Linked DNA regions of Schizosaccharomyces pombe. The gene in region 2 interacts genetically with the main gene of each other region. Each region holds a gene or a part of one and is shown on either strand. Other genes may lie near its edges. The genes, in order: pxd1, cdt2, suc22 and rad1.

The links.
Region 1: of cdt2 (region 2) and pxd1, changing one suppresses a phenotype caused by changing the other (phenotypic suppression), as found in Schizosaccharomyces pombe (one study listed by BioGRID).
Region 3: of cdt2 (region 2) and suc22, extra expression of one rescues a mutant of the other (dosage rescue), as found in Schizosaccharomyces pombe (one study listed by BioGRID).
Region 4: mutations in cdt2 (region 2) and rad1 are lethal when combined (synthetic lethality), as found in Schizosaccharomyces pombe (2 studies listed by BioGRID, with this or other methods).

Annotation. Positions count from the first base shown.
Region 1 is NC_003421.2:1,281,886-1,289,737, reverse strand, and holds pxd1 (protein Pdx1), read right to left. Parts: upstream 3,573-7,852; 5' UTR 3,389-3,572; coding exon 2,333-3,388; 3' UTR 2,207-2,332; downstream 1-2,206. Other genes in the region: trp1322 (TRP-like ion channel protein), read right to left, coding at 1-1,601; rpm1 (3' ssRNA-specific 3'-to-5' exonuclease), read right to left, coding at 3,703-6,576; DNA replication factor A subunit Ssb3, read left to right, coding at 7,374-7,520, 7,584-7,686, 7,788-7,852.
Region 2 is NC_003424.3:2,033,268-2,041,270, forward strand, and holds cdt2 (WD repeat protein Cdt2), read right to left. Parts: upstream 2,438-8,003; 5' UTR 2,384-2,437; coding exon 911-2,383; 3' UTR 689-910; downstream 1-688. Other genes in the region: SPOM_SPAC17H9.18C (uncharacterized protein), read right to left, coding at 371-688; mitotic cohesin complex non-SMC subunit Psc3, read left to right, coding at 3,136-3,400, 3,446-3,558, 3,597-3,692, 3,741-4,150, 4,201-5,800, 5,849-6,253; SPOM_SPAC607.02C (uncharacterized protein), read right to left, coding at 6,348-6,618, 6,665-7,033, 7,082-7,137; U3 snoRNP-associated protein Snu13, read right to left, coding at 7,669-8,003. UniProt on the Schizosaccharomyces pombe protein: Substrate-specific adapter of a DCX (DDB1-CUL4-X-box) E3 ubiquitin-protein ligase complex required for DNA replication during mitosis and meiosis.
Region 3 is NC_003423.3:3,717,227-3,725,158, reverse strand, and holds suc22 (ribonucleotide reductase small subunit Suc22), read right to left. Parts: upstream 3,537-7,932; 5' UTR 3,405-3,536; coding exon 2,229-3,404; 3' UTR 2,087-2,228; downstream 1-2,086. Other genes in the region: trm1 (mitochondrial tRNA (guanine-N2-)-methyltransferase Trm1.1), read right to left, coding at 130-1,776; MCM complex subunit Mcm7, read left to right, coding at 5,239-7,521. UniProt on the Schizosaccharomyces pombe protein: Provides the precursors necessary for DNA synthesis. Catalyzes the biosynthesis of deoxyribonucleotides from the corresponding ribonucleotides.
Region 4 is NC_003424.3:4,974,596-4,982,452, reverse strand, and holds rad1 (checkpoint clamp complex protein Rad1), read right to left. Parts: upstream 3,876-7,857; 5' UTR 3,835-3,875; coding exon 3,699-3,834; exon of another isoform or gene 3,573-3,698; coding exon 3,332-3,572; exon of another isoform or gene 3,289-3,331; coding exon 2,694-3,288; 3' UTR 2,315-2,693; downstream 1-2,314. Other genes in the region: ach1 (acetyl-CoA hydrolase), read left to right, coding at 1-1,119; SPOM_SPAC1952.08C (pyridoxamine 5'-phosphate oxidase), read left to right, coding at 1,667-1,891, 1,967-2,314; SPOM_SPAC1952.06C (uncharacterized protein), read left to right, coding at 5,013-6,707; SAGA complex histone acetyltransferase catalytic subunit Gcn5, read right to left, coding at 6,973-7,857. UniProt on the Schizosaccharomyces pombe protein: Recombinational reparation of DNA damages induced by UV and gamma radiation.

The DNA.
Region 1 (7,852 bases), on a different chromosome or scaffold from region 2:
TCTAAGGGAATCATTAGAATAACCGTGATCAAGCGCATGGTAGAGATGAAGGTGTTTAACGTATTCATACTCGTCTGCGGGAAATGTGGTCGCACATAAGCATACGCCACGACATTAGCAACTTCAAGTATAAAGAATATGGCTAATTGTGCAGAGCCGGAACTTCCTATGACACCAACCGTAATACCACGCATAAATTGTACGGCAATTGGAAAGATCCAAAACATAACTCTCTCTTCTCGAAACGAATTGTATATAGAGCCAAATAAATGCAAATATGTTTGATCTTCAAGAAGTTTGGACGATGGTTCAACAAAAGCGAGATTCATATATAAATACACCGGAATAAAGATTCCAAAAAAGATAAACCACAAAACGGGGATAATTTCATAACCTGTGGGCGGTGCGACAAACTGGAATGACATATAAGCGACGGTAGGGAAATATGTCAAGAAGTAAAGACGTATCAGAGAACCAGCAATGAAGCTCCAAGTATCCCACCGAGTTTCGGCAATAGTTTCATTGAAAATTCTAGACATAAGCCATTTCAAAAAAATAACCAACAATGCTACAAATAACGCAGCAAATAAGTAAATAACCATGACTATAAGAAACGGAAGCCAGCATGCAGTACCTATTCCTATAGAATCGAGAAACGAATACATGCCATATGACTTAGGCAAATAATCCGCATAACTAGAGGATGCTACAGACAAGTCGGCAAAGTCTGCAAATTGATATTCAGCAGGCTCGGAGAAAATGGGAAATCGAAATAGAGCAGTGCCCCAAGAAAGAGCAGCCATAATATTTATGTAAAATTTTGGAAACATAACACTAACCTGAGCTGTAGAAACAGCAAATTGCAAGTATTGCACAAAATCAAAAAATCCAAGGGATGTTAAACGAAGAGCATCAGGGTCCATATTAAAATTAAAAATCGACTTAAATGGATCTAAACTGCCGGTCCATGGATTTAAAAAAAGAGCATAAATAATGGAAAACGAGACATATGCGAGCGACACAACAACCAAATATGAAATAACTGGATAAAAATAATACAAAGTTGTGGACAAACCAAACTTCATACAAGTTATTACATTTTTCTCGGGAGTACCGTCAACAACGATTACTCGCGTTGTTAATGTAGTCAATTCGTATTTTGAGTAATCGGACAAGGTGGATTTAAAGGGAACTTTAACCATGAAAGCGGCACTTCCAGCTGCCCAAGGACATTTTATGGGGACTTCAAAAGAATGAGGATCCATAACAACATCACAAAGCTTTGTGGTATTGGATGTGACCAGTTTTCCTAACGCATAAGTTTCCGAATAAACTGAAGCAGCGTGAATATGTGAGCCATTTCCACCCACAATCGTTATAACTCCGGATAAATTCCCCACTACTTGAATGTAGTACATCCGATTCACTTCATCAAAATTCTTGATAACTGCATATGGGCTAAAGGTAGGAATACCTGCTCTCGGTACAAAGTTTGAACAAGTCTCAAAATAATCCAAACTTGGGGATCCATTCACTGCTGAAAGAAGGCTGTAAAAAACGATATGAAGAAAGAGGAAAACAGAGTACGGGCGAGGCTTCATTATTATCCAAACACAAACATTCTAATAAATTTTAATATAAATAGATCCAACCTTGAATTCTTTTGATTCTCTATGAAACGAAATTTGAAAAAGACTTTAACTGCTCAGGGTTGGTAATTTGAGCAATTACAAATGCAGTTATTTAGAAAGAAAAGAAGGTTTCAAAAAATGAATGCTTTGTAAGATATAAGTAGGCCAGAGACGCGAAACACATAAATTGCTATTTCTCGTGTGTGTAGTTAATGACAAACACATGCTCTCGCGTTCCTTGTCCTAGTATTAGATAATAAAGATTAACTACGCAGCACGTTAGTGAAATTTTATGAAAAATTTCCGGCTCGTTAAATAAATAACATAATAATATACTATTTCGTTATTTTCCAAAGACAAATCTGCTCAAGAAAAGGTCCTAACATTAGCGCTTTATATGCATATATTATAAACCATACAGCGCTATTGAGATATAAAAAAAAACAAATAAGACAAGAAGAACTCAGTAACGTTCTCAAAGACGTTTAAAACTCGAGTCATAAAGTCCCTTCTGCTTTGGTCCTTCAAAATTAAGACAAGCTATCTACTCGTTATTTTTAGTTCTAACTTATCACATAAATATATACATTTAAAATTATTGAAATAATATTCTTGACTTGTTAGATATATAACGTACATTAAATCATCATTACGGGACCAGCTCGCCAAAAGTTTGCTATACTTAGTCTAACATAAATATTTCACTTTTCAAAATTTACGTTTCTTTCCTGAAGCCACGAGTGCAGAGTGTCCAAAGATACATAAACACCGTGCTTTAAAAGTATTTCGAGAAGGTCGTTTGAGGAAATACGTAGGGCATTTGAATTTTTCCATAAATAATGATACAACTTTTTTCCACCAGGGCTTCGAAAGAACGTTGAAATATTAGAAGAACACATTACTTGAGGAACCAGGAGATTATCAGCAACTTTCTTTTCATCGTGTTCGCAATTAACTATCGGATCGGACTCAAGGGTGGTAAAAGACTCTTCTCCAGAATCAGAGGTTGGAAATACCGACATACCAAAACAAGAACCAGCTTGTTCAATATCATAGCGATTATCATCATCGATACGGGTGCATACTCCTCTCAACATGTTTAACTCCCCACTTATCGAAGGTACTTGTTGGGACAATAAGTCACCCTCATTTCCAATTAGGTAATAGACATTAGTTCTAAATGATGATATCCATAAGTAAGGCGTAATTTGACAACCGATATTGCTGTGGTGGAACCCAGGTTCGACATTCATGAGTTCATCAGACAGAGGAAACTTTGGCTTATGCCTTTTAGCAATAGAAATAGCAATTTCTGGATGAACAACTTTGGACTTAAATTGTCTCTTACTAACACGAACTCTAGAATCTTCTGAAACAGAAGCCGTCATAAGTAACGGCTTTTTCTTGGGAATGGTATGGCCAAAGCTTAATGGGGTCAAGCTTTCTGAATGCAATTGATCAACGGAATTATTTTTTTCTTCAAAATATTTGGTAACTCTTGATGTAATACTGTTATAAGAAACCTTCGATTTAGAAGAACGAATGTGTGGTTTCTCAACTTTAGTAAAGTCATGAATATTAGCATTATCCTTTTTCAGGAAAGAATGCAGCGTTTTCTGTCGCGGTGCTGCATGGACTTTCATCTGGTATCGAAACCGCTGAACCTTCTCTGCAAAACTTTGCGCAGCATCATTTTCTTCAACATTAACGTCGTTTAAATTTAAAGAGGGTGCTGTTTCACCTTTAGATTCAATCATTTTTCTTAACTTAGATTTTAAACAACGCAGCACACTTCGTCGATGGATTTATAAGCATCCAAAGACATTTGCTTCTTGTCTTACAAAAAATAGAAAAAGAAAATATATTTTAATCACAAGAGTCAAGGTTAACAAAGAGACTTCATAGTAAAACTACCTGTTGGTTTTTGAGATGAGTTTTGGCGAAACAGGTTACTATCAAATCCCAAAACATAATTTATTTATATCGTTAAGTCTCGGTAAATTGATAAAATGCAGGATTGAGTATTTAATTAAGTAAAATTATATCCATAAAAATAGTTTTAATAAGTTTGTTAGGTCGCTAAAGCAACTAATAGGATATTAGACTCCGGAAAGACATCCTTAATTGTAAATGCCTGGCGAGTATTTGCTAACCGGAATGCTTCGTCCGGGAGAATATCAATATGCGCTTTAACACCCAATTCTTCCAACATGACCTGAGGTGTTGAAAGTTCTGAAACCATTAAATATCCATGATAAATATTTTTTTGTACCTTTGGAAGTCTCTCTATATATTTTAAGGCCCAGAAACGATTAATGTATCTTCCTATAGTTTTAATTGATTTTTCTTTTTGGTTGTACAAATTTAGTTTTCCACGAAGAATACCATCAGGTATAGTATTTTTTGGAGTCTTTAATAATACCGACTGAATCTGATGATGAGTGAAGAAGTCGGTAAACCGGCGTAAAGGAGAGGTAGACTGAATATAGCCATCCTTTAGCCCCAAAGAAAAGTGGGAAACAGGTGTGGAGGCTAAATGTGAACTTTCAAATAAAGGCATTACAGAAAGTGAATACTTAGTTTCAACGAGTCCCCAAGATGACCTGTTACTTAACAAAGTTTCAAACGCTTTTCTTCGTACACCATCCATAATTGGATAAGGCTGGCCCCTAAAAATCCCAGGTAATTTATGTTCTTGAAAAAATAATGATGAAACCCGGCCAGCCAATATCATGCACTCTGATATTACTGATTCTGCCAAGCTATACCCTTCACTAACGTTCAAACTAATTGTAGGGAAGGAAGACCAGTATACTGGATGATTCAGATCACCAAGATTATAAGGGACATTATTAGGCAGCAATTCAACTGTCGGAGTGGGTTGTGCAATAACAAACGCAAACTTTTGTAACCTAGAAAAACAGGCTTGTTTCGAAAGTTCATATATTCTTAATATATCTTTCATGTGATCATTTGATACTCCTTTTGTTTCCTCATCCACTGGTCCAGAAACGATGTCTTTCGCAATTGATCGATTACTATGCAAAGCTTTATCCAGTTGTTGGGGTGTGTATTTGATAACTGAGGAAATGAAGCTAGGCCGAACCTTGTAATCAAGTATATCGCCATTTTTTGAAATTTTAGCACTAAAAGTTAATGCTCTTTGAGCTGTAGAAGATGAATCTAAACTCCAATATTTCTGAGTGATATTGAGAGGTAGCATATACACAATTTTGTTGGGATGATAAATAGTTTGAAAGTTCCTTTCAGCAAACGTGCCTAAAGGACTGCGAATGTCAACTGTACTCGTAGGATTAGCAACATGGATATGAAGCCAGGAATTAGACATCCCTAATTCTTCAACCGAAATCGCATCATCTATCTCTTTCGTAGAAGAACTATCAAAGGCGAACGCTTTAAGATGCCTTAAATCGACGCGTTGCGATTCAAGTGAATCTTTTAATTCATTTTTTACAAACTTTTTAAAGTGATTACACTCACGTTCATACACAGCATCTAACTGAGGATTAGTACCAAGGCCAGCAATGCTGTATTCCTGTTGAAACAACCTCGGGGGCTGCCATGAAGCCCACACGCCAATATCCGTTAAGAATTTAGCAAACTGATCACTAGTTAATCCCCTCTCGTGAGTTTGAAGGCCAACTTCTTTGTAAACCTGACACAAGTGTGTATTTGGTAAACTTTGAATACTTTTTGCAATCATTTCCTGAACAAGATACCGCAATAGTTTTTTTTCAAATTCAGTCCAAGTGACCTGTGAATAAACTACGGGTTTTATTTCTTCGGTGCTTATAGGTAACTTATATTTATCTCGGGAAACTTGAATTAAATGACGAGCTTTCTTTATAAACGAAAGATATGGTGTTGATTTCTGACGCAGGCATGCAACAACGTCGTCAAAAGAATCATTTTGTGAAGAGGGAAGGAAATAGACTTTTTGAATTTCGGAAAATATGTGATCGCTTATTAAAAAATGTTTGCTTTCTGTAAGCAAAAAGTGTAACAATGAGATTTTAGCATATGGGCTAGGCTTCGAAGTTTTGTACACAAATTTCAAAAGGTCTGAAAAAGAAGCTGAATTGTCAAGTTTATTTGGAATATTGAATTCTGTCAATATTCGCAAAAATTCATTTCGGTGACTTCGACTTAAATCTTGTGCTCTTTGAGAGATTTTTTTTAATAACTTTATAGTGAAAGGTAGGACATCAGAAGGAACAGAAACATCAGAAAGAGGTTGCTGCACCTCTTTCAGCTTTTTAAAGACATTAGGACATCTCAGTAAAACTCTAGATGTACGAAATTCCTTAATAGTACCGTTTTCGTTAATGCTGGTCAATACATTACTATAGTTCCAAACATTAGTACCAGTGCATGCAGCAAGTTCAATGCCTTCGGAGCCCCTATAAAACACTAGCAAATCTCCACGATCGTACTGTCTAAAATTCTCACTGCTGAAATCTTCTAAATCAAAAGAATACTCAAAATCATTTTCCAACTTCTCTTCCTCAGATTTTGTAGTAGTAGGACAAACAGCAGCGCGTTTGTCCTTCTCGAACTTGTCTTTCAACCACTGTCTAATGTTTCCATGATTTTCTAATTCAGAGAAAAATTTTTTAAGGTTTTCCTCATTCACGGATTTCAAATTAGCATTTTTAAATCGATCAATAAGATCTGATTGAGTATGCTTCAAACGCGCACCACAATGTCCCCAAAGATGATGATCGTTTGCTGGTTGTTTCCCGAAATTTATTAGGCATCCAGTTATGCGGAAATATTTCAAAACTTTTGAACTGGAAGGGCAAGCATGATGAAATTTCCTTGTAAGTTTACAAGGAGACAATTTTAAAGACAGGCATACACGTTTTAATAAATAATTAGACTCTAAATTAACATTTTGAAGAAGAAACAATTGCCTATAGTTCATGGGCAAAAACCCTATAATTAGTAACACCAAAAATAGTGTTGATGGTAAATTCGACTAGAGAGCTGAACCAGAGCACTTTTAGGTACTAGCAAGTATTAAGGTAACAAGCTCTGCAAATGTAAATGAAGAGTGGTTTAATAACTAATGTAACAGAAGAAAGATTTCAATATGAGTATGGAGTTTTTTGATTTTTTTTTTTTTGAATTGAATGGTCGAGGGGATGGGCGACTTCAAAGTGAAATACATGAAATCACAACCTCAAGGTAAAACTAATTGAAAAATTATATCATTAAAAGAAGGCTGCTTTCCATCAATTACATTTACTTTTAATTATTGAAGCTTCTGGTCTACGCCTAAGCAATTTACTAATAGTGGTATTGGAAAAGAGAGAAAATTAAGAGTCGCCGACGATTTCAAAAATAGTATAAAATACCATGAAATCTTTCCATAATGTTATTTAAATCACTATATGTAAGACGTATTTATATTGGTCTTTAACCCGTTTATTTACAACATTTCAACCAATTAATAAGTAGTGAAATTAACGCAGAAGGATACAAGGAGATTTTTTTATGAATAATTCTTATAAAAAATAGAACAGTAATGTATCAACGTTAGCCCCCAGCGTTTATATTTACGCTTTTGCTTTTTTATTTACATCCCAGCGCCTTCCAACATATAATACATAACGTACTGCGTTCCAATATTTTAAATAATTCGTGTCAACAAGTAGTTAACTACCTGGTCTGATACATACTTCACTTCCACCACTTTATAAACAACGCGTATAAAATAATATGGAACGCCCTACACCTCGAGTTACGAAAGATATGCTACCAGAATGCTCTGGAAAAACGGTTCGGATTGTTGGCAAGGCGAATCAAGTTGAAGGTGAAACTGCAAAAGTCGATTCCAACGGTTCTTTCGATATGCACCTCACTGTGGTACGTTTTATCTATTTTACAATCGGTTTTCAGAGTTTTTTTATTTTATCTAACTAATTTTAGGATAACACTCTTGAACCCAATCATTTCTATGAATTTGTCGTTTCTGTCAAACCAGATTCTTCGGTGCAGCTTTTAACCTGTGTTGATTTTGGCACTGATATTGGTAAGTTGTGTTTATAAAAATAATAAGGAAGTCCTTTGAACTTCTGCTTCTGCTAAGTCCTACATTCTATTGACCGATTAACTAATTTCCTGTTCCTTTAGATATGGAGGTATACCAGAAACTCGTTCTATTCAGTCATAAGTATAACTCACTTTTTTTTGAATAA
Region 2 (8,003 bases):
AAGTGCGTTAATATGATAAAAGTGTTATTACCTTTGTTAAAAATACGTTAATCGTGGTGTTTAAATGAACAGAGTCGAGTATATTAGTAACGTCAATGAGCATTTTTAGGAACAAGGCTCGTGGCATGTCTTAGTTTTATAAATTTAATATACCATAATCCATAAAAATTAAAATGTTCGAGGCCAATTGAAGTGCACCAAAATCATTTCGACAACTTATGATCTGTAGTTTGCGTTTATTTTAATTGTTACAACAAATTGCCAAATAAAGTGTATAAGTATAAAATGAGTAAAATAAAAGCTGAAATAGCTAGCCACATCTATTTTGTATAGAATTAGTTATTATTGTTTGCAACTTCGTAAAATATCCTTAGACCATAATTATAAAAAATGAACGTATAGGGCTAAATTGTATATTATGAGAAATAAGAAGTTCTAGTAAATAGTTGCTTGCTAGTAATAATTTAGCGCTAGCGCTGATTAAATAATGGATTTCTTTTAAGTGTTGAATAATCATTATTAGTATATAAAAAACTATTAAACTGAACGTTTGTTTAGGAATAGGAGTTCGATTAACGGTGAGGAAAAAACATCTAATTTGGATTGCATATATTGACTGGTATTTTGATTGCTTCCAAAAAAAAAAATAATTGTCAACAAAAAAAAATTGCAAACTAATTTTATGCATTAAGCTTTGGTAAACAGAAAAAGCTTATAAAGCATCCAGCGGAAGCAAAAAAATGACAAATCAAAGGATTAAATAGATATGGAAAAAGAAAGAATCCTAATAATATTCAAATGCATTAGGGAATAGTCGTTATTTTTGACAAAATATTATGAAGCCTCACTTATAGTCTTCTTTTCAAGAGAAACAAGCCGAATATTGAGACATTGCTATGCGTGATAATTTTCATTTTTCACTAAATCCCCAATAAAAAATCTCCGAAAAATTCTTTTCTCTAAGGTTAGCCGCACTTCCATGCAGAGAAGAATTCCATACGCGAACGCTCCCATCGTCTGAAATACTTGCCAATTGACCTTCACTAGACCAATCAACTGCAGTAACATCCTTAGTATGACCACCTGTGAGCATAGCAGACGATGAACAGTTTCTTGTTGTGTCAAAAACAACAACACCACTAGTCTTGTCTTGAACGCCTCCACCGCAGGCTAAAGTTGCTCCGTCAGGACTGCACGCCAACTTTACGTAGAATGAAGAAATTCTGAGTCTAGGGTCTTTGTAAGTCTTGCAAAATCCGGAGTTTAAGTGACGAGATGAATATTCATAAATGATACTATCTCTGGAAGCAGCATAAATACGCTCACCGTCAGGAGAAGTACAAACATTAGTAACACCAAAATCGCGTTTTGAAGTAGTTAATTCGGGAGTAGTAGCAGCAGGTAAAGGTCGGACGGTATGTACAGTTCGTAAATCCCATAACTTTAAGGCCGAGTTTGCAGAGCAGGACGATATAACTTGCGAAGTAGATTGAGGGAGCCACGTAGCTGAGGTAATTGAGCAATCCCTTCCCGAATTTTCATGTGCTTTTCTTATCCTTAACACTGGTTTCTGAAAATGCTCACCGTCAATTGTTATCCCGTGTGTTCGCATATCCCAAAAGATAATGGAACCATCCCGAGAACAACTTACCAAATTATAAGGAGAATCATTGCAAAAATTAACCTGCTTTACTGAATGAGAGTGGTATCCATCGACACCTCGTCGTCCCAATCGAGTGATGCATTGTTGCGTTGACAAATCAAATACCTTTGATGTTTGATCGCCAGATGAAGTAGCTAATAATGAATCATCTTTAGAGAAATTAACACTAAATATAGCATTGTTGTGAGCAAGCCAGCCATGGATTCTTCGAGCAGACGGCTGATTTTCCTCATTCTGTCTATCGTAAAATCGAGAATCAAACAGCTCAAGAGCTCCAGTCTCAGTACATACGGCCAATAAAGACTCGTTATTAGCAAATCCAAGACAGAACGGGAGTTGGTTCAGCATCATTAAGCATTCCGAAGGTCGTGAGTAATATGTTTCGAGATTGAGTCTACCTCCCACATGACGAGAAGTTTTTGTGCTAAAAGGGTGCGACCGGGAACCTCCCAGTTGTCTGATTAAAAGTTCTTTACAAAGTTGAGCAGGTTTTTTTTGAATATGAACTGGCTTGTGTAACAGGGGTTTCTTTTCAAACACAATGCGTTTTCGAGGTGTTTCAATTTTTCCTCGGCTTTCTAGGAAGTCGTAAAGCTTATGTTTTTTGGAAGGTGCTGCGGGAGAAGAATCAGGAGTCGGAGGTAATGAGTTATTTGCACGTGAGGTAATATCTCGAAGCCCACCAACATCACTCAAAGCTTTTCCAATGTCCATATTCATGGTATAATCATGAATCTTAATTTAATCCGCTTTTGAGGTCGTGTGTTCCAGTTTAATTTAAGTAGTGGATGGTAGCGTGAGTATATTAGATTTTCGTGACGCGTGAACGCGACGCGTCCGTGATCCATCACATGCACCAAACGTTACCCAGAATATGTTAAAGTAACAAAACGCGTATTTCAAAGTCATGTTTAAGCATATTTGCAATTACAGATGGGTACAGCCTAAAATTCTTGAGGAATAAATAAAAAGGATAAAAGTTTTCTAATTACTTGTTAATTTTTCATAAAGGATGACTTTCGTATTTCTGCCTATGATATAATGAGCGCTCGAAAAGTTGTCAAATATCTCATTTATTAATAATAATCGAAAATATTACGCGTCAAAAGAATCTTTCACTCACAATTCTATACTTGTATAGTCAAATTACAATCTCAACTCGCGGAGTGAATATAAGTTAGCTGTTCACCTTGCAGGACCCAAAAGAAAATAGTATATATTTGTTTCAATCAAGGTAAAGAAAATTTTAATGTAATAACTTCGTTAAGTATAAATTTCCTTTCGTATCCTTGGATTTTCAAACACATTTATCCTGTCTAACACTATTGAACAAGACAAGTTCGTGCTTTTATCAACTACAGGTTGTGAACAACCTCCATTGTACAACACCAATAGTGCATTCATTACACTCTTTCCAATATTTCTAATTACACCTCTTAATTTATTTATAAATTATTTCTTTTTTTCTTCAAATGAGTGAGTCTGTTACTACTGGATCTGATGATGATGGAGGAGACAGAGAATCTTCCCCTGTAATGCTTTCTCAAAGTTTTGATCCCATGAGCAGTAGTTCAAATTCATCTTCTGAAGAAAATAGCGATGATGATTACGAGAAAACGATAAGCTCAAAAAAACGGCATCCACGGCCAAATTCTAAAGGAGTAAATGTAAAACGCTCTAGGAGGAACGCTATAGTTGAAGAGGATCCTCAAGAAGAAATTTTTAACAACTTATTTGGTAATGATAAAGTCCTTCTTTTTTTCAGCTACTAACACTGAAAAGCTTTTCTGCTTGACCAAAAAGTTGATACCATGGACATCGCGGTTTCGTGGTTTGCTGACTATGCAAAAGATAATCAATCTGCCCTTGCAAATCTTATTAACTTTATTTTAAAGGTAGAGTCATTCTTTTCTTTCTTTACTAAATATTTTAGTGCTGTGGTTGCAATCGTGCCATTAATGTGTTTGATGTTCAGGATCAAGATTCTGCTTCAGCTACTCTATCTCAAATTCAACTTTCTGTAGAGCGTGTAAGTGCTTTTGCGAAAATACTTTATTTGTATATTAACAACTTTAAGACTTCTACTCGTGATTATCCTTTAAATTCAAAAAATCTTAAGTTTAGGAATTTCAGAAAGAGATTGACCGGTCTTTTAAGCAACTTTGTGTCACAGTTGTCAATAAGAAATTACTTGTACAATAGCACTGTTTTTGAAGATATTATGTCTTGGGTCGTTGCCATGTCTTCTTCTACGATGAGACCTATTCGGCACACCGCCACTGTTTTCTGTTTGAATATTATGACTTTTTTATGTGAAAAATCTAAAGAACTATTGAACGAGCATGCAATTGCTACCAAACAGCTCGAGAAAGAAGAAAAGCGCTCTCGTGTAAATAGAAATCGCATCAACGAACTTAATAACAGTCTTGGTGAAATAGTCAAGCAACAAGATACATTGACTACATACTTAAATGACTACTTTGATAGGTAAAGATCCCTCAAACGCTTTAATTTATTTATACTAACCTTTATATTAGTGTCTTCGTCCATCGATATCGAGACGTGGAGCCTAAAATAAGGGTAGATTGCTTACAAGAGCTTGGGGTCTGGATTAATACTGTTCCAAGCATATTTTTTTCAGGAAGTTATTTAAGATACCTAGGATGGATGCTTTCAGACATAAACACTACCGTCAGATTAACTGTAGTTAAAGTTTTGCGCAAATTTTTTGAGACAGATTCATTTATTGGTGGATTAAGACATTTTTCTTCTAGATTTAAAGAAAGAATACTCGAGATGAGTTGTGTGGACGCCGATATTGGAGTTCGTGTAGCCAGCATTCGTTTGTGTAACGCTATGAGGACTTGCGGATTTTTAGAAAATTCTGAAATTTTAAAAGTGCTGAAGCTAATTTTAGATATCAATCCAAGGGTGCAACGTGAAGCCGTACTGTTTTTATGCAAAGTGGTTGACGAAAGTGTGAATGAAAAAATTGATTTATGGGGTGAAGAAGACTATATTCTAAAGGCCTTTTCTCAGACTTCACTTACTACATTTTCAGTTCATTGGATAAAATTTTCCCAAATGTGTAAACTTTTGGAGGAGGTTAGATTGTCTTACCAATCGAGCTTTGATTATGATACATTATTACGAATCTTCCAAAAAAATGGTAATTTCATTACTCCTATAACACAAGCTTTACTTAATGCATGTGAAATTGATTCAATCTATCAGTCATGGGAGGATATTAGCAACTTCGTACTTTTTGATAATTATACCTCGACTCTAAAAGATCCGATAGACAGTATACTTTCTTTCTGCAAGCTAAATGATTTTCAGGAATCTATTCTTTTACAGCTTCTCTCTGCTTCAATCCAAACTGTCTGTAATAACAATTTTATCACACCTAAAACGGTGCATAATAAGCAAGCGGCGGAAACGACCAACGATCAAAATAAAGATAAGGACTTACTTTATTTGAATCTTCTTCCTTACATTAATTCAATAACTGAGAGAAATTCTGCTTCACCAACACTTCTTCATGATTCTCTTCGTTTGTTATTCTCAATGGATTTGACAGAAATGACAGACCCTCAACTTTCCAGACATTTTGAACTTCTAATTAATAATTTAAAAAAATTTTTCCTAACCAATAATGATCTTCAAATTATTCAAGGTTGCACGATATTATTTTTACGGTTGGACTCTATTCCTGCTTTGAAAGAAGATTTGAAGCTTCTGGTTACTGACATTTGCGACCAGACGGTAACCGAATTTTTAAAGAATTTTGGATCTTTTAATATTCAAGATGCTGTAATAACAAAAGATGAATTTGTTATTTTTGAAGCTTGTTTAACAAGAATCGAGGGATGTACCTCTCTCAAAGATTTTTCTGACTATCCTGAGTTTGACATAATATATGAAAGGCTTGTTTCGCTTCTTTCGCGGGTTCCTAATAGCTATGAAGATACATTGAAGTTTTCTGCAATTAATACTTTACAGAGTCTATTGTTTTGGTTCTTTCTAAGGAAGGATAACCCTGCTGATGAGGAAAAAAAGAAGGATGATGAGACTAAAGTTTTTAATTGTTTGATTAATATTATGAATAATGACAGCTCTAAAATTTTGCAACTTCAGGTATACAAAATCAACTTATTATTTGATTTAAGAAACTAACTTGACCAGGCAGCCCGAACTTTTCTGGAAACAGTGATAATGAAAGAAGGTGTTAAAGCATCACATTACAACGATGACAATCGTGTATCTGAGGAGCATAACTTTTTAAAACCTCAATTTTTAGATGCTCTTTTAAAAATACTTGAGGGATGGTTATACACATATGCCAAAGTTGGTCAATTCCCCTTCAAGCGTTTGACTCAAGCAAGTTCTCCACATACACAAATTTCTTTGGACAAAAATCCACTTAATAGAAGGCTATTGGAACATGTATGTTGCGATTTGACTAGTAAATTATTAATAGTTGTTTCATTGTCAAATACGATAACACCAGAATTTTCACAACAGTTTTGTGAACTAAGAGGGCACTATGGACCGAAATTATCTGCTATTGTGGATGAGTTTTTGAATTAATTAAATTTAGATTTAATGCCTGCTGTATATTTAAAGTAATTAATTATTTTTAAGTCAGCATTAGAAATAAATTCTTTTTTCATTATTAAAAAGATTATTTCCGCTTGGTTTTCATTAATTCTCTATATTTCTCTATAAGTTCCAAACGCTGCTTTCCTAGAGCTTGGCGTCGTGCCATAGATTCTGTTTGACCCATATTATTAACTTTGGGAACATTTTCCAAGTACTTTGTCTCTTTAATTTTTAATTCCGGAAGTTCAGGAGGAGCTTGCACAGTTTCTCCAAAGGAAGGTTTTGTTTGTAAATTAGCCCACGGATCAGGCGAATTTTTTCGTTTTTTTCTAGACTCAATTTGGATAAATTGTCTAATATGTTAGTTTATACGAAATGAAATTGGTGATATACACATACCCAGTAGTATCCGCCTCCCATGTTTTATCTTCAAAATTTTCCTCAATTTCATTCCAGTCTCTTTCACGCTTCTCTTTTCTTTTCGCTATTTTTTTCTTTTCTTTTTTATCAGTAAATTCGTCTATTTTGCTCGGCCCAGACTTAAAAGATACTGGAATAGCCTTATTTACGCGCTGACTAAATTCACTAAGGCGTTCACCGGGTAATCTTTGAATTTTCCCATAATCTTTTTTTTTCTTATTTTTAAGGTTGCCTTTCTTTATTTCCTTCTTTTTAGATTCATGGTACTCTTTTTGCTGTAGCAATCGCTTGAATTGCTTTGGGAAGTTGTCATCTACACTTTCATCCTCCTTGGGAGCATGATCGAGTCTATTAACCAAATGTTAGTAAAAACATCTTGCTATAGAAATTTTTTACCCAATCTTTTTCCGTTCAGCCTCAAGAACGGACCTTTTCTTAGTCTTAGTAGGCATATTGCGCTTGGATAGTAAACACAAACGAGAAGCAAGTAATAAAGGAAAATAGCGAGCCTAGCTCGTATCGCAATTTAGATAAATTTGGATTTGTTTTAATAGATACTCATGGGATAACAGTAAAGTTTATTAATGAATACAAATATCTTTTTTTATTTTAGTGGACAAGCTGTAACGCTTTAGAGAGAAAAAATTTCAGAATCAAGTTGGAAGCAAGCTTAGTGAAGATACTTTTCGAATCATACACGAAAAATATATTAAAAAATATATATATCAAACACCAAATATACACTATCTTTATTAAAATCGTAATGCTCTTATATGTAAACACTCAACTATCTTTCTTGTTGAGTATTTTGCGAGCTAATTAATAAAAATTAAAATGACTACAAACAGAGTACTTGAAATTATATAGAAAGCGAAACAGTACAAAATTACAATAACAAAATAAAAAATTCGATAACAATCTGCTTCCATAAGAATCAAATTTTATTCTCGATTAAAAGAAAACTGTTCCCAAAATCCAAAAGTTTAGATGAGCAATTTCTCTATTGCCAATTTAATAGCTTGAATTTGAGGAAGTAAATCACTAGCCTCATTGGTAGTAATGCTGGCTGAAATCACCGGTCTACTTACACCACAAGCACGTCCCAAAGCAGCCTTGCTAGGAACAAAAACATAAGGCACATTCTTGTCCTCACAAAGCAATGGCAGATGCAATAAAATCTCTATGGGCTCGGTATCAGCCGCCATTACTATAAATTCACTAATACCACGGTTCAAGGTTTTGGTAGCCTCATTTGCACCTTTGCGAAGCTGCTTGTAATGAGAGGCCTGTTGTACCAAGTCGAGAATTTGTTGGGTTA
Region 3 (7,932 bases), on a different chromosome or scaffold from region 2:
ACTAAATCTTTTTTGTACTAGCCTGTTTATAATTTGCATAAACCTTCCGAAATAACATAAAGAATGAAATTGTATGTACTATCCAAAAACCTAAAATACAAGGAGTATTTAAACTGTGCTCCACTTTACCTAAGATTTTGAGTCAACTTCAGCGATAGTTCTTTTACCAGGTTTACTTTTTGGGCCCCAATTTTCAGTTGGGTTCATTTGATATCGAGTATAACCTTCTTTTTTGGATGCAAACTCGGAATCGGGCCTGAATGTAAAATCAACCTCAGCTGTGGGAGTTTTTTCCAAAATCGCTGCTCCAGCAGATGTTTTACTAATATTTTCAAGCTTCACTGGATGATCTTTAATCCAAGAGCGCAAAACATCCCAAACGAAGGACCAGGGAGCATTTGTTTTAATTGCATTACTCTTGGCATGAGAACCAGAAACCCGATATCCAGCGTTTAACAAAGCTGAAACAAATATATTTTGAGGAGGAGATTGGGAGCGCAAGACGCTACAAATTTGGGATAAAACAAAATAAAATGGAACATCTGGTAGTTCTTCATCAGCCAAAGCGAGCATACCTAAGATTCTTCGTTTAGTGCCATAGACTTCAGGGTCTAAATCTTCTGCAATGGCGCGCATTTTTTTGAGAAATTCTGCATCATGTAGGGGTCCACCCCATAAAGGGCCTCCAACATGATGCACATATCCACAATGTTCACAGTTAGCAGATACAGGAGGCCCCGAAGCATTAGAGAATTTGGTGGTTCCAGGTAGTCTTCCCGGAGAAGTTTTTCCAAGTGGTTGCTCGGCAAAGCTACCGCAGCCTGAACAATGGTATATCAATAGCGATTGACTTTGTAAATTTTTTACGAGAACAGGCTTTGCTTTAATTTGAACAAATACGCGAAAGTAAAAATCAATACTTAGGGAAAGTAGCGGCTTGATAGCGCGACCATATTTTGCAGCAGAAGCTGCAATAGCATAAAGCAAATGACGAACAGCCTGCTCATGACAAAAATTAGAGCGCAAAGAGGACCCACCATAATTAGAAAAGCATTTCTCTGGATATGCATTACCGGCTAGAACAGCTGAATCAGTACATGTGATGCATAGAAGACCGTCCTTTGAAACGGATTGTACAGCAGCATCCAGAAACGGGGCAGCAGATCCATAAGGATCAAGGTCAATCACATCGTAATGAAATTTGTTCATATGCATAACAGCATTAGCGTCTCCTTTATTAGGAATTACTATATCGCTCACATTATTGTAATTAACATTCTTCTCGATGGTTTTCACAGCATTTTCTAATAAATCATTTGCAAGTATCCTTTTGACATTTGGCAACTCCTTAGCATACCGAATGGAACGCAATCCAGTAGCGGAAAGTGCTTCTAAAATGGTAAATCCAGCAATATTATCAGCTGAAGTAGAATCTGTCTTTTCCGAACAGTTTTTTTCAAAATCATGAGTTGTATCACATTTAGTAAGATTTTCTTGGCTAAGTTCGGAGTTTTGATCGAGAAGCTGATGCCGGTGATGAGATTTTGCAACAATTTTTTTGGATCTAGTTTCCGACCAAGCACGAATAGCTGTAACGCTTAAATCTCTATTAAATTGTTGTACGGGGTTATAAAAGACTTCATTCGGATTTGAAAATGGTATAATTGCACTACCCTCGGTCAAACTTGCAGAAGCCCCCGACATCATGGCGGTTGAGAAGTGATTCACAGCATTTGAGATCCTTTGACTTAATCTTAGCATATTGGCTTCATACATTTAATACGAATTAAAGAAAAATAATCGTTAAAAAAAAAGAAAGTATTGATTATTTTTGAGAGTAAATTTGCAGTAATTCATTAAAAAAATACGAGATGTGATAAGTCAACCATAAATCGAATTACAAAGTATTGTATAATACATGTAATCTTGTAGGTTTAGGTAATTGACAATAAGGATAATAAGTAAATGGTCTTTTAGTCTATGACTGGAAAATAACTTTTCTTAGACGTAGTAAATTAATGAAAAAGAGAAAAGAACTTGAATAGAAATACTTCAGAAATTAGAACTTCGTCATTACATTCACTGAAGTAGCCATTTAGATTTGTAAAGTATAGAGTAACGAAAATCTAATTAAACATATTAATTTATTATTGCTAAATAGGTTATCAGTAATCAATAATATTTTTTTTTTGCTTTAACTTATCTAAAAACCAAAAATAACTAGTCATCTAAAAGTCCTCATCGATTGTAAATGTATGATCATCCTTCTCAGCGCGCTTGGTACCCGACATAACGCCAGCAATTTGGTAGTCAGAAACTTTCTTTTCAAAGAAATTTGTTTTTCCTGCTAAAGAGATATTCTCCATGAAATCGAAAGGATTGGTTACGTTATAGTACTTGTCATTGCCCAAAGCAACCAACAAACGATCAGCAACAAATTCAATATACTGACACATCAAATCCTTATTCATACCAAGCAGACTAACGGGAAGAGCGTCCGTGAAGTATTCTTTCTCAATATCAACAGCTTCAACAATAATGGCTTCAACAACCTTGCGGCCTGGTCTGTGCTTCAAATGACTAAACATCAAACAGGCAAAGTCGGTGTGAAGACCCTCATCACGACAAATCAATTCATTGGAAAAAGTAAGACCAGGCATAAGTCCACGTTTCTTAAGCCAAAAAATAGAGGCAAACGATCCAGAAAAGAAGATACCTTCTACAGCAGCAAAGGCAACCAAACGAATTGCATAGGTGGAATCTTCATCATTAATCCAACGAAGAGCCCACTTGGCTTTGGCCTTAATAGAACCCATTGTTAAAATAGCATCGAAATGACGCTGTTTTTCCTTAGGTTCACGAATGTATGTATCAAGCAAAAGTGAGTAGGTCTCAGAGTGAATATTTTCAATCATAATTTGGAAACCATAAACACAACGAGCTTCAGGGATCTGAACTTCAGAGCTGAAACGCTCGAGAAGATTCTCATTAACAATACCATCTGACGCAGCGAAATAGGCGAGTACAGTGGAAATAAAGTAACGTTCATCAGCATTTAACTTGTTATCCCAATCAACCAAGTCTTTCGAAAGATCAATTTCCTCAGCAGTCCAAAAAGATGCTTCAGCCTTCTTGTAGAATTGCCAAATTTCGTGATACTTAATTGGAAACAAAACAAAGCGGTGAGGATTAGGGCGAAGCACAACTTCATCAAGCTCATCTTCCTTTTTGCCCAAGTAGTAGTCGCCTCCTTCCTGTTTCTCTTCTTCACTTACATTATCAAAGTTAAAGGTTTCTTTAATAGATTTAACATAAATTTTACGAACACCTTGTTCGCTATCATACTCGACTTCTTCACCATGTTCCTTAGGATAACTGAATTCTTCGAGATGCTCAAGGCCCATTTTGTAAGATTAATAATGAGATTTCGTCCAAACTGACCGGATTTATCTGTATATAGAATAAGTACAAAAGTTTTCTTCCACCGCGATTATCTCTTGCGATGTGGCTTCCCAAGATGTGTTGTGGTTAATGGCAAAACTTTCAAAGGTAGGTTATCCAATGTAGTGCACAGTATTGTAGTATATTCAACACCACCGTTTTTTTTGTGGATGTTAATTTGTCGCACTTTGGGTATGATAACACAATGAATAAGAGTGAAGGCAAAATAGACAAAATGCTGCCTTATTTTACAGAGTGGAAAATTGCAGTTAAACTAAGTCAAAGGCTGATGGAGATGAATAACGTTGAAAAAAAACAATGTACTAATTAATATTTGGAGACAAACGCAACGAGTAAAAAAAATGAAATAAATTCGAAGACAATCTCAAATTAAATGGGAAAAGCAAGGGCTTACTTCCTTTCCCTTCTGGTGTGTTATAATAACGGTTTCTTAAAGCAGGAAATTGTAGCTAGTTAATAGAAAAATGTGATAGCTTAAATCGAAGAATTCGATGCTAAGCGTGGAGTCGAATAAATTCAATTATTTAGGCTCAAATAATTGAAAAAATAGAAATGAATTTATTACTTTATGTAATAAATAAATTATTAAATTTCTCACTTTTTGTTATAATTTAATAAAGTAGTTTTCAGTGTAATACTTAAGACGCGTCAGGGTACCTCAATTTATGTTGTAGATGAAACGCAATGATATCAGCCTAGTAGTACGATATGATGTTAGAAATAAATATCTCTTCACAATCTCCTTTTCATCCGAGATGTAGAGCGCTTTATAACTGCTCAAATATTACAAATCACGAAACTTCTAATGCGACGCGACCGTACATAAAGACATTGCTTAATTAAAAAAAGATAAGCGCGACAGAGACCTAGCCACATACTGTGAATAATTTTAATACCTTGATCCTTTCGTAAAAAAAAAAAGAAATACTTATATTCGTCTATTGTAAACAGAAAATAAATAAGCATTCCAATAGCACGTTTCTATTGCGTGTTGTGCTTTTAGGTACAGTTTACAATGTGGTATAAAACAATAAAGAATTTTCTATATTCATTCTTCACTGATGTTTGAAATAACCGAACAAAAAATAAAAAGTTCCCTACTCGAAGTTTTTATATTGTTGATATCGCATTTCTTTTGAGAATTTCCCTGCTAACTTACTTCATAAGTTTTCAAAAAAATTTTTAAAAATAAAAGTGAAATAAATTTTAGGCAGTAGTCTAAATAACTCTCATGTTTAGAAATACAAAACGTGTAGAAGAAAAATAGGAAAAATTATGGATAGCTAAAATAACAATCGATTGAAGCAATGAAAACAATTAGACATACATTTATGAAAATAAAATGACCAATTTATTGTCTGGCAAAATGATTATTATTAATTTAAAACAAATAAACTGTTTATTTATACATAGTGAATACTCTCCAAAAAAAATTTCTAACAGTACTACATAGTGGCTTTTAAAATCAAACTGAATGTTTACTTTTGCTGCGAGAGTAATAAATTAAAAAGGAAATATGTAGAGAATCAAAAAAATTATACACTGCAATTTCTTTAGAGTCAATGACAATTTGTATATGCCCTAAGTTACAATATTTACATTTTTGTTACCTTACGAGTTCGCGTTGATTCATACTACCAACTAACTAAAACAACCTAAAGAAGAACCTTTCTTGGTATCTTACCCTTACTTAATACCCTTGCTTTCTTTTTGAACCTTTATATTTTTTGCTAATTCAGCAGAAAAGTTTTGGGATACTTTTTTGGTTTGAAAAGCATGGCACTTCCCACCATAGATTTAAAAATCCCAGAGTATGAAGAATGTCAACATAAAATTACGGATTTTCTATCCCACTTCAAGCAGGAACAGGTTCAAGATGGACAACAAAATCAGGATATTTCGATGTCGGATGCAGGTGATGAGCCTTTTTTAAAATCAAAGTATATGGATATACTACAAAAAATCTCCAATCGAGAGTCAAATGTTATTAATGTTGATTTGAATGATTTGTACGAGTTCGATCCAAGTGATACTCAGCTTTTGCATAATATTGAATCTAATGCTAAACGGTTTGTTGAACTTTTTTCGCAGTGCGCAGATGCGTTGATGCCTCCTCCTACTGTGGAAATTAATTATCGCAACGAAGTACTTGATGTAATTATGCAGCAACGTGTTCAAAGGAATGAAAATATAGACCCTGAGCATAAAGGATTTCCTCCTGAATTAACCCGAGGTTATGACTTATACTTTCGACCAGTAACTCGCAACAAAAAACCATTCAGCGTTCGTGATTTAAGAGGCGAAAACTTGGGATCTCTTTTGACTGTCCGTGGTATAGTTACTCGTACAAGTGATGTTAAGCCTAGCTTAACTGTAAATGCTTATACATGTGATCGATGTGGGTATGAAGTGTTTCAAGAAATCCGTCAGAAGACATTCCTTCCAATGTCTGAATGTCCTTCGGATGAATGTAAAAAGAATGATGCAAAAGGTCAGCTTTTCATGAGCACAAGAGCCAGTAAATTTCTTCCTTTTCAGGAAGTAAAAATACAAGAATTAACGAACCAAGTACCTATTGGCCATATCCCTAGATCATTAACCGTCCACTTATATGGTGCTATCACTCGCTCTGTAAATCCTGGCGATATCGTTGATATTTCTGGTATATTTTTGCCGACTCCGTATACTGGTTTTCGAGCAATGCGCGCCGGGCTCTTAACCGATACTTACTTAGAATGCCATTATGTTTCACAAATCATTAAAAATTACACAAATATTGAAAAAACTCCTCAATCGGAGGCTGCTATCGCTGAATTAAATCAAGGAGGCAATGTGTACGAAAAACTGGCCAAGTCCATTGCTCCCGAGATATATGGACATGAAGATGTTAAAAAAGCTTTACTTCTGTTGCTTGTCGGAGGTGTTACTAAAGAGTTAGGGGATGGAATGAGAATTCGTGGTGACATAAATATTTGTTTAACTGGTGATCCTGGTGTCGCAAAATCTCAATTATTAAAGTATATTTCGAAGGTTGCCCCGAGAGGAGTATACACCACAGGTCGTGGATCTTCAGGTGTTGGTTTAACTGCTGCTGTAATGCGTGATCCAGTGACGGATGAAATGGTTTTAGAGGGAGGTGCCTTAGTACTTGCTGACAACGGTATTTGCTGCATTGACGAATTTGATAAGATGGATGAAAGTGACCGTACAGCAATTCATGAAGTAATGGAACAGCAAACTATTTCAATTTCAAAGGCAGGAATCACTACGACTTTAAATGCTCGAACAAGTATTTTGGCCGCTGCGAACCCCTTATATGGACGATATAATCCGAAAGTGGCACCAATCCACAATATAAATCTTCCAGCTGCACTGCTTTCCCGGTTTGATATTTTATTTTTAATTTTAGATACTCCTTCTCGTGAAACAGACGAGCATTTGGCACAACACGTAACATATGTTCACATGCATAACGAACAACCTAAAATGGACTTTGAACCATTAGATCCAAACATGATTAGGCATTATATTTCTTCTGCTAGACAATATCGCCCAGTCGTACCAAAGGATGTATGCGACTATGTTACTGGTGCTTATGTTCAACTTCGACAAAACCAAAAGCGTGATGAAGCCAATGAGCGTCAATTCGCTCACACTACTCCACGTACACTTCTCGCTATTTTGCGAATGGGACAAGCATTAGCTCGTTTGCGTTTCAGTAATAGAGTGGAGATTGGCGATGTTGATGAAGCTTTGAGATTAATGTCTGTTTCAAAGTCATCACTATACGATGATTTGGATCCTAGTTCTCACGATACTACTATTACCTCGAAAATATATAAAATTATTCGAGACATGCTTAATAGCATACCAGATGTTGAAGGCAATGAACGCTCACTTACACTACGTGCTATTCGTGAACGCGTACTTGCTAAGGGTTTTACTGAAGATCATTTAATAAATACAATACAGGAATATACAGACCTTGGTGTTCTTTTAACTACAAACAATGGTCAAACAATAATGTTCCTCGATCCGGATTTACATATGGAGAATTAACAATTTACTAATAGATAACTCCTATCATTTAATTTTTCTGCCAATTAATTGCTTTAAGCTAATTTACAACCTATAGAAATTATTCTGAGACGTCAAACTACTTTTCTGTTGAATATTCTTTAATTCTGACTAATACATCTGTCGTTCTTTTAATCTATGATAGTTTATTTACTTGTATTCAAATGTTAATTCACGCAATTGAAAGGAAGATATATTAAGCCAATATGTTTCGTTAGATTTGGAAGGACCATAAAACCTTAAGATACGTGTCAATATGCTCGAGTCGTAGGAATGAGTAATGAGTTTTTATTTCTTGACATTTAGCATTATTTTACACCTTTAACTTGTTCATCACTGCTGTCCCACCCTTCCTGCTGTCATGCCGAGTAAATTGCGAATAGAACTTTACGC
Region 4 (7,857 bases), 2.9 Mb from region 2:
ACCGAGGACGGCGGAATTGTTCCCGGCGCATCAGTTGGTGCGAGTCCGGAACTTATGCAACTTGCGGAAAAGATTATCATCGAGGTGAACACTGCCATTCCTTCTTTTGAAGGACTTCATGACATTGTCGAAATTCCCAACCCCCCACATCGTACTCCAATAAACATCAATCGAGTTGACGATCGTATTGGAAAGCCATACATCAAAGTGGATCCCAAAAAGGTTATTGGAATAGTGGAGGCTGATTATGGAGACATCACATGCGCTAACTCTCCGCAAGATGAGACTTCGCAGGCTATTGCAGGCCATTTAGTTGACTTTTTCCATCATGAAGTATCTGTAGGGCGTCTTCCCAAAAATCTTCATCCTTTGCAATCCGGTATTGGAAACATTGCCAACGCTATTATCGGTGGTCTTGCCCATTCTCCCTTTAAAGATCTCGAAGTGTGGACAGAAGTCTTACAAGATACTTTCTTGCCTCTCTTTGACTCTGAAAAGTTACGTTTTGCTACTGCTACCTCAACCCGTTTTTCTCCTCAGGGATTTGAAAAATTCTACTCAAACTATGATTACTACAAGGAAAGAATTTTGTTACGCCCTCAAGTAATTTCCAATCACCCTGAAATTATCCGCCGTCTTGGTTGCATCGCTATGAATACTCCTGTGGAAGCCGATATTTACGCTCATGCCAATAGTACAAATGTTTTGGGAAGCAGAATGTTGAACGGTTTAGGTGGTTCTGCTGATTTCTTGCGTAATGCGAAATTAAGTATTATGCATACACCATCGGTTCGTCCTTCGAAGAAGGATCCTACTGGTATCACTTGTATTGTTCCTATGGCTACCCATGTTGACCAAACCGAACATGATTTGGATATTTTGGTTACAGAGCAAGGATTGGCTGATTTACGAGGCTTGTCTCCTACCGAACGTGCTCGTGAGGTTATTGACAAGTGTGCTCATCCTGACTATAAGCCTCTGCTCAGAGAGTATTTCGATATTGCCGAAAACTACTGTTTAGCTAGAGGAGCTGGTCATGAACCCCATATTCTTGCCAATGCTTTCAAGATGCAGCTCAACCTTTTAGAAAAAGGAACGATGAAGATCGATCATTGGTAAATTTAGTTATCAGTTGTTATAGCCACTTTTACTCTTTCTAAGGGTTTTCCAAAACCTTGTTACGACTAAAATACAGCTTCTTCGTGCTGTTATGACTTAATGTATTTCATTTTTACATTAATTTAATTTACGAAATAAAAAAAATCCGTATACTAAAATTAGTGTTTATAAGTTAAGGAAATTAGTTTTGAGTAAGTAAATCCAACAATCATAATGCGTATGAATTTTCCAAGATACACAGAAATGAGCGCGTTTATTTTATGAGCAGTATTCCTTTGAAGATTATTAATCTTTAGTTCCCCTGCAAAATTCGTAAGTTGGCTGTTTAGTACATACCTCTATATTACGTTGAGTTGTGAGTCAGCATTTCTGCTATTAACCTAGTATCAAACCTGCTTACTCAGAGAGGAGTACCACCAAAATTTAGGAAAGGATAATCAAGTATAGAAATTATCGTACAGTTTTGTCTGGATCAATAGTTTCCATTCACCAGTATTTATTCTGCAAATTATAATCTTTGTCGCACCACAATAACCTGAAAGTAAATATGGCCTCAAAAGTCGATTCATCTCATGAGTTCCCCAGCCAAATCAAGAGATGCTTGTCCTCATCCAAATATATTCAACTAGCTACTTGCTTTCATGATCAGCCTCACTCTTCTTTGATGACATTTACCTATTTACCTGCAGGAAGCGCTGCCCCTTACGAAGTGGAGGATTGCATTATTTTGTCAACAGGAGAAAACAGTAAAAAATATTTTAACATCAGTTCGGTATGTATCATATTTAAAAGTTTAACTTATCCTTGATCCTGATTGGTATTTTCTTTTTTCTAACATGATGACTAGAATCCTCGAGTATCATTACTAGTTCATGACTGGACCACTAATCGTCAAGAAACAGATCCTGATGCCTCCTCATTGTACACCTTACTTTATAAAATGAATCAGGCTCAGTTCTCGAATACATCAGTGACCTTGAATGGCCTTGCTACCGTTCTTCCAAAGAATAGCAAAGAAGAGGAATTCTTTAGAGAAAAGCATTTAAACACTAATGACAAGGGTAATACGAAACAATACGTGGAGGGTGAGGATATGAGAATTATCAAGATAAAGTTGGAAAGTGCGAGAATTTGTGATCAGAGACTCAACAACGTCCAAAAATGGAATGCAAGAGGAGATGAGACTCCATTTTGAGTAAACAAATGTTTTATGAGTGTCACTTTGCATTTTCTATTTTTTAAAAATCAATAATGTTTGAAGAATTTTTGAATGCTTCGTAGATCTAACCATAATGTATAATCGTGTGTATGATACATGGGAATTTTGTTGGCTACATGCTTTGCTAGACAGCCTAGTGGAAAGCGTCTTGTTTATACGTGTGTTAAATAAGCATAGAAAAAGTGAGGAAACGGTGTGACTTTAAGCTACCTAAATAAGACCAAACAAAAAGCAGGGAAATAAATCATGATTCGTTGAATAAGTGTATTATCATAAGTTGTTCAGTATCAATTGTACCTTTTTCTTTTTTTGAAGTTATCGGAAACACTAAAGTGCTGAGTGCTAAAATTATCATTTAGCTATCCTCATCCTCGGTCTCCGCATCTCCTCGATAATTCGGATCGTTTCGTAAAACGTTATTGTCCGACTGATTAGATTCTGCTGGTTCTTCTTCTTCATCCTCCTCCTCATCTTCACTTACAAGGTCCAAAGGAACAATACAAAAGTCTACAAACGTACAAAGCCCTTCTTGACCGACAAGCATGATTTGAATGCTCAAAGTTCCATTTTCATCAATACGTAGGTTTACTTTAGAACCCACTTGTAATGCTTTCAGCGCATGTCTTATTAATGAGAAGCGGTAGGAATAAGTGTTTTCAGAATCAGTTTCAAAAGACTCTAAAACACTTTTCTCGTTTGGATATTCTATTTCCGTAGTGGATAATGCCCCTACACATCTCAATAAGAAGGTTGATTTTTGGGATGATGTATGAATAATTAAATTTTCGCCCATGTTATTGTCTAATTCCACCAAGGCATCATATAGCCAGTTACTTTTCATAATGATCTTCGTGCACAATGTGCTTGCAAGTCTATTGATGTCAACGTCGTCCTCACATTCCATAGTCAACAGTTCACAAGCCGTAGCATAACCAGCCATTTCCTCTACTCTTTATTTTTGTCAGTACAGAATGTTAATGATAAAATCCTTACTCCCATATAAATGGACAGCCGGGTCCATTATACTGTACTTTGCAGATAACGCCTCGTTTGTGCATTATGTTTACAGTGGGTTGATCCCAGGCACTAGTTGAAATCCGTTCTTTTCCATCTGTATAAATTGATAATGATTGTAAAAGAGGTGAAATCATCGTCTGGAACATATATGTATCCCCATCTGAATCACCCTGAAAATTAAACGTTTGAAACAACGACTTATCAAGAAAGGCGTGAGCTTAATGTGTGAGTGAACAATAAAGAAAAAGTGAATGCATTTCAAGAATCGCATTAATATATGAAACTTTATTAAGTAGCTTCAAATTTTTTAACGATCATAGATGTGAGACTCGACTTGTCTTACCCTGCAAAGACTGCGATTCCTCCACTGCAAACCGTAGTCCACGACTTGTGATTTCGATAGTACATTCCTTTGAAAAATCAATGCATCGTAATGTTGACTGAATCTGCTTTAAGCATACTGTTTCTGCTTGAAACATGCGAATTTACGTCCAACAATAAAAAATTGGTTATATGCTACAACTTGAACACCCGTAAATGCTAATCTTATAAATTGATAATTTTTCCTTCTGATATTAAAGGACTTGACACTTGATTACAAGACCAAACGCAGAATAAGAAAGACAGTTCAAGTTAGAAGTTATTTAGTAAAATTCGAAAAGGTGCACAATTTTAAAAGGTATGCAGATTACTAAAGGAAATGAAAATTGAGATTGCTTTTTCTTTTTTAAAAAAAAAAAAATTGTGAAATATTTTATTCTGATATATAAATTTTTGGAAAGCCGTAAAGCTTAATAGACGAGTATTTTATTTATTAATTGAATAGCATCTACTTCTAACTGTCTTTATTTATTTATCTCTCGACACAGAAATTTTATCAAATTAAATACAAGTTTTAAGAGCCATATTTGAATTTACCAAATGATATTCAAAAAAGCTATAGGATCCCAGTAAGTTGATTGACTCAAAACTAAAGATACAATTAAGGATTTGTAGCTTAATGAATTTGATTGTTTATGAAACAAATGGTTCATTTATTAGACAAATATTGCAAATTGCCGAACTGTTTTAGTGATAATAGCTAAATTTAAATTGCTTTAGAAAATCCATAATTGTAATTTTATCATATATACAGTTAGGATGTCATTTTTACACCCTCTTTTGAAAAGTCATTGCTACAATTAAAAGAAAGGTAATACAAGATGGATCTAATTTCTTCCTTATTTAATCAACCTAAAAAATTTCGAGTTAACTGCATGCACTTTATTTAGCTTCTCTTCTCTTAAATAAACACTTTTTATCCTTCTTCCAATCTCTCCTTTCTTGGATATAAGAGTTGTATAATATTTATAAAACAGAGGGGAATTTACTTGCTGTTATTATTTTTTTCCAAGCTTAGATTCTGGTTTTCACTTTTGATACACTTTGTACATGCCTACATCTTACCTAGCTTTTACTTGAACTGGTAAACGAGAGGAATTTTAGGAACGAGTCAGGCGTTATAATTGAATTGCACGATAGTCTTTTCATAAGGCTTTTATTTTACTTGATGCGGCTATAAAATATAAGTTTGTCAAAATTATTTATTTTGTATCAGACGGTTTTCATATATTCAATTTGAAAAGGAAACTGGCGCATAAAAAATACATTATTCTAAATGGATGTAGATTCAATTTTTAAAAATACCGAGGAAACAAATAAGAAAAGGAACCCTGAGGAAGCAGACTCTTTGGAGCCAGCTAGTAGTCGCAGAAGACTCGCTGAAGAGAATAGCGATGAGGAGAATGAAGAATTTGACGAGGAAGGAGGTAGATTTTTTGGAAGTGGGCTTAAAAAGAGTGAAAAAACCGTTTTAGACTTTTTAGACGAACAGGAAGCCCAGGAAGAACCTGCTTCATTGACTCCTACTGAATTGAAGCGCATGGTAGTACGACTTGAAAAAACAATTAATAATAATCAGGAGTTACGCATCAAGTATTCTACTTCTCCTCAAAGGTTTATAGAATCAGAGGCAGATCTTGATCTGGAAATTCGAAGCTTCAATGTGCTTTCAGAGTATCCTATCCTCATACCCATTTTCCTTAAATTAGATTGTGTTTCCACGTTTTTAGAATTAATGAACCATGAAAATGCGGATATTACTATTACGGTATTGGAGCTATTGATAGAACTGACTGACGAGGATGTTGACCCAGACGCATTAAACTCCTTATTTACTTCCCTTATAGATTCTGGTTTGCTTCCTTTGCTTTCAAATACAATCAAAAGGTTTGACGAATCTAATGAGGAAGACCGACATGGAGTATATTGTGTGCTCTCTCTTATGGAGAATTTATTATCTGTGGACAATAGCATTTGTTCAATAATAGTTGAAAACACAACATTGGTAGAATGGTTACTGAGTAGATCGTCTGTTGATGAAACTTCTATATCAACTAATTTGCAGTACGCTGTTGAAATTTTAGCTATCATTCTCGCTAATTCAAAAGAAGCTAAATTGAAAGTGTGCAACTTGAATGGGATTGATCTTTTGTTGCGCCGGATCAGTCCTTATAGGCTTCGTGATCCAACCCAAGGATCAGAAGAAGAAATGATGGAAAACGTGTTTGATTGCTTATGTAGTCTGGTTCAAGAAACGAAAGGAAAATCCCTTTTTCTAAAAGAGGAAGGTATTGAATTATGCATACTAAATATGAAACATAAAGGAAAAAGCCGTTATTCTACAATCAAAGTTTTGGACTATCTTTTATTTGGGCCTCTTTCCACTCCTTATTGTATTCGATTTGTAGAAGCAGGCGGTTTGAAATATATTTTTGCTGCGTTTATGAAAATATCTGCAGCCGATACTCTGGAACATATATTAGCTATTCTGGCATCTTTATTTCGATCTTTACCTGCTGACACCGTAGAAAGGGTGCGCTTTTTACGGAAATTCATTGAAAATGACTTTGAAAAAATGAAACGCCTTTTCAAAATTTACGATCGCTTGAGAATCCAACTCAAAGGTATTGACCAAAGCAGAAAACTTGATTTTAGTCCTGATTCGGAGGAAAAGAGTACCAAATGGTTTCTCCAACAAATTGATCATGGACTGTTTCCTTTCCAATCTACAGTTCTTATCCTTTCGTGGTTATGCGTTGAAAATACAGTGACATTGAAAAAAATTAAGATGCTGTTTTCCGAAGCATCCATTCCAATTGATGAGTTGACTGATGCTCTAAAAAATTATCATGAAAACCTTGAAGAACCGACGGTGGAGTCCGAAGAGGTGGAGGCCAACGACTCTTACTACAGAATTGACGAAAAACCTATGGTTACTGTTTTACTTGGATCTATGCAAGCATCTGTGTAATAAAATCATGACTTGTTCTGATAACATATTTTCAATTTAATGAGTTGTACATTTGTTATTATGGAACATAAAGAGTGTTTGGTATTATAGAATTATATATATTTTTAAACAAAAAAACTAAAAATTAAACACTAGCAGTTCTTGATATGCCAGCATATTTGGAAGGCACAAAAGATATTCGTGTAAAAAATTAAAAGGTGAAATGTATATGTTATAATCAATAAAACTTCGGAATAGACGTTTCGATGATAATAAATGTAAATGATTAATCGGCTAAGTGTGAATACTCAGTTTCACGAAGTTTTTTCTGGAAAAACTTTTCCAATCTATCGGCATTTTTATAGTAAGTCGTGTTGGAGTCATTGTAAGAACGGCAATTATCAAATATATATTTTGCATCCCGAATAAATTCCTCTACAGACTCATACTGGTTGTTACGCAACCGAAATTCCATAGTCGAAAGGTCCATGGGGTGTTCAATAACTTCGTAATAATCGGGTACATCCTCTTTACTAACCGGTTGCATAAAGGGCCAGGAAGACGGATGATTTTGCATTTCTGTAAAAAGCATTTCCAAAACGGCAAAAAAAGGTTTAGGTCTGGGCTTTTTGGAGAGCTCTTCCATTTCCTTGCACCATCCAACTTCCATCAACCCAGGAACTTGAGACGGCTCTATATGAGCTGGACCATCTTTGAATACGTCTAAACCAGGATAAACAACGTTCGACCGAGTGATCCTGTTAATTTTGGAAACAACAGCAGCTTTCTGAATAGCCAAAATCAGATTAGCTTCTAAATACTTTATTTTTGGAATCATGGTGCATTGCATAAGTGTGCCACCTTCGTAATCCTTAATATAGCCAACCCATATAGACTTGTCAAGAGTAATTTCCTTAGTAAATCCTTGTTTTTTAAAATACCCGATTGCATAGTTATCTGCATATGTCAAGAAGTGCTGAATTGTAGTAGTTCCACGGACATAATCCTTTAAATGATTCATTAAATGAGAACCATAACCACGAACCTGTTCATTGGAAGCAATCGCACAAAATACAATTTCGGCAAATCCTCGTTGTTCAAATGGACGATAAGTAATACCGCCCACTACATGTAAATTATCTTTGACAATGGTCATTGAAAGATGGTTTCG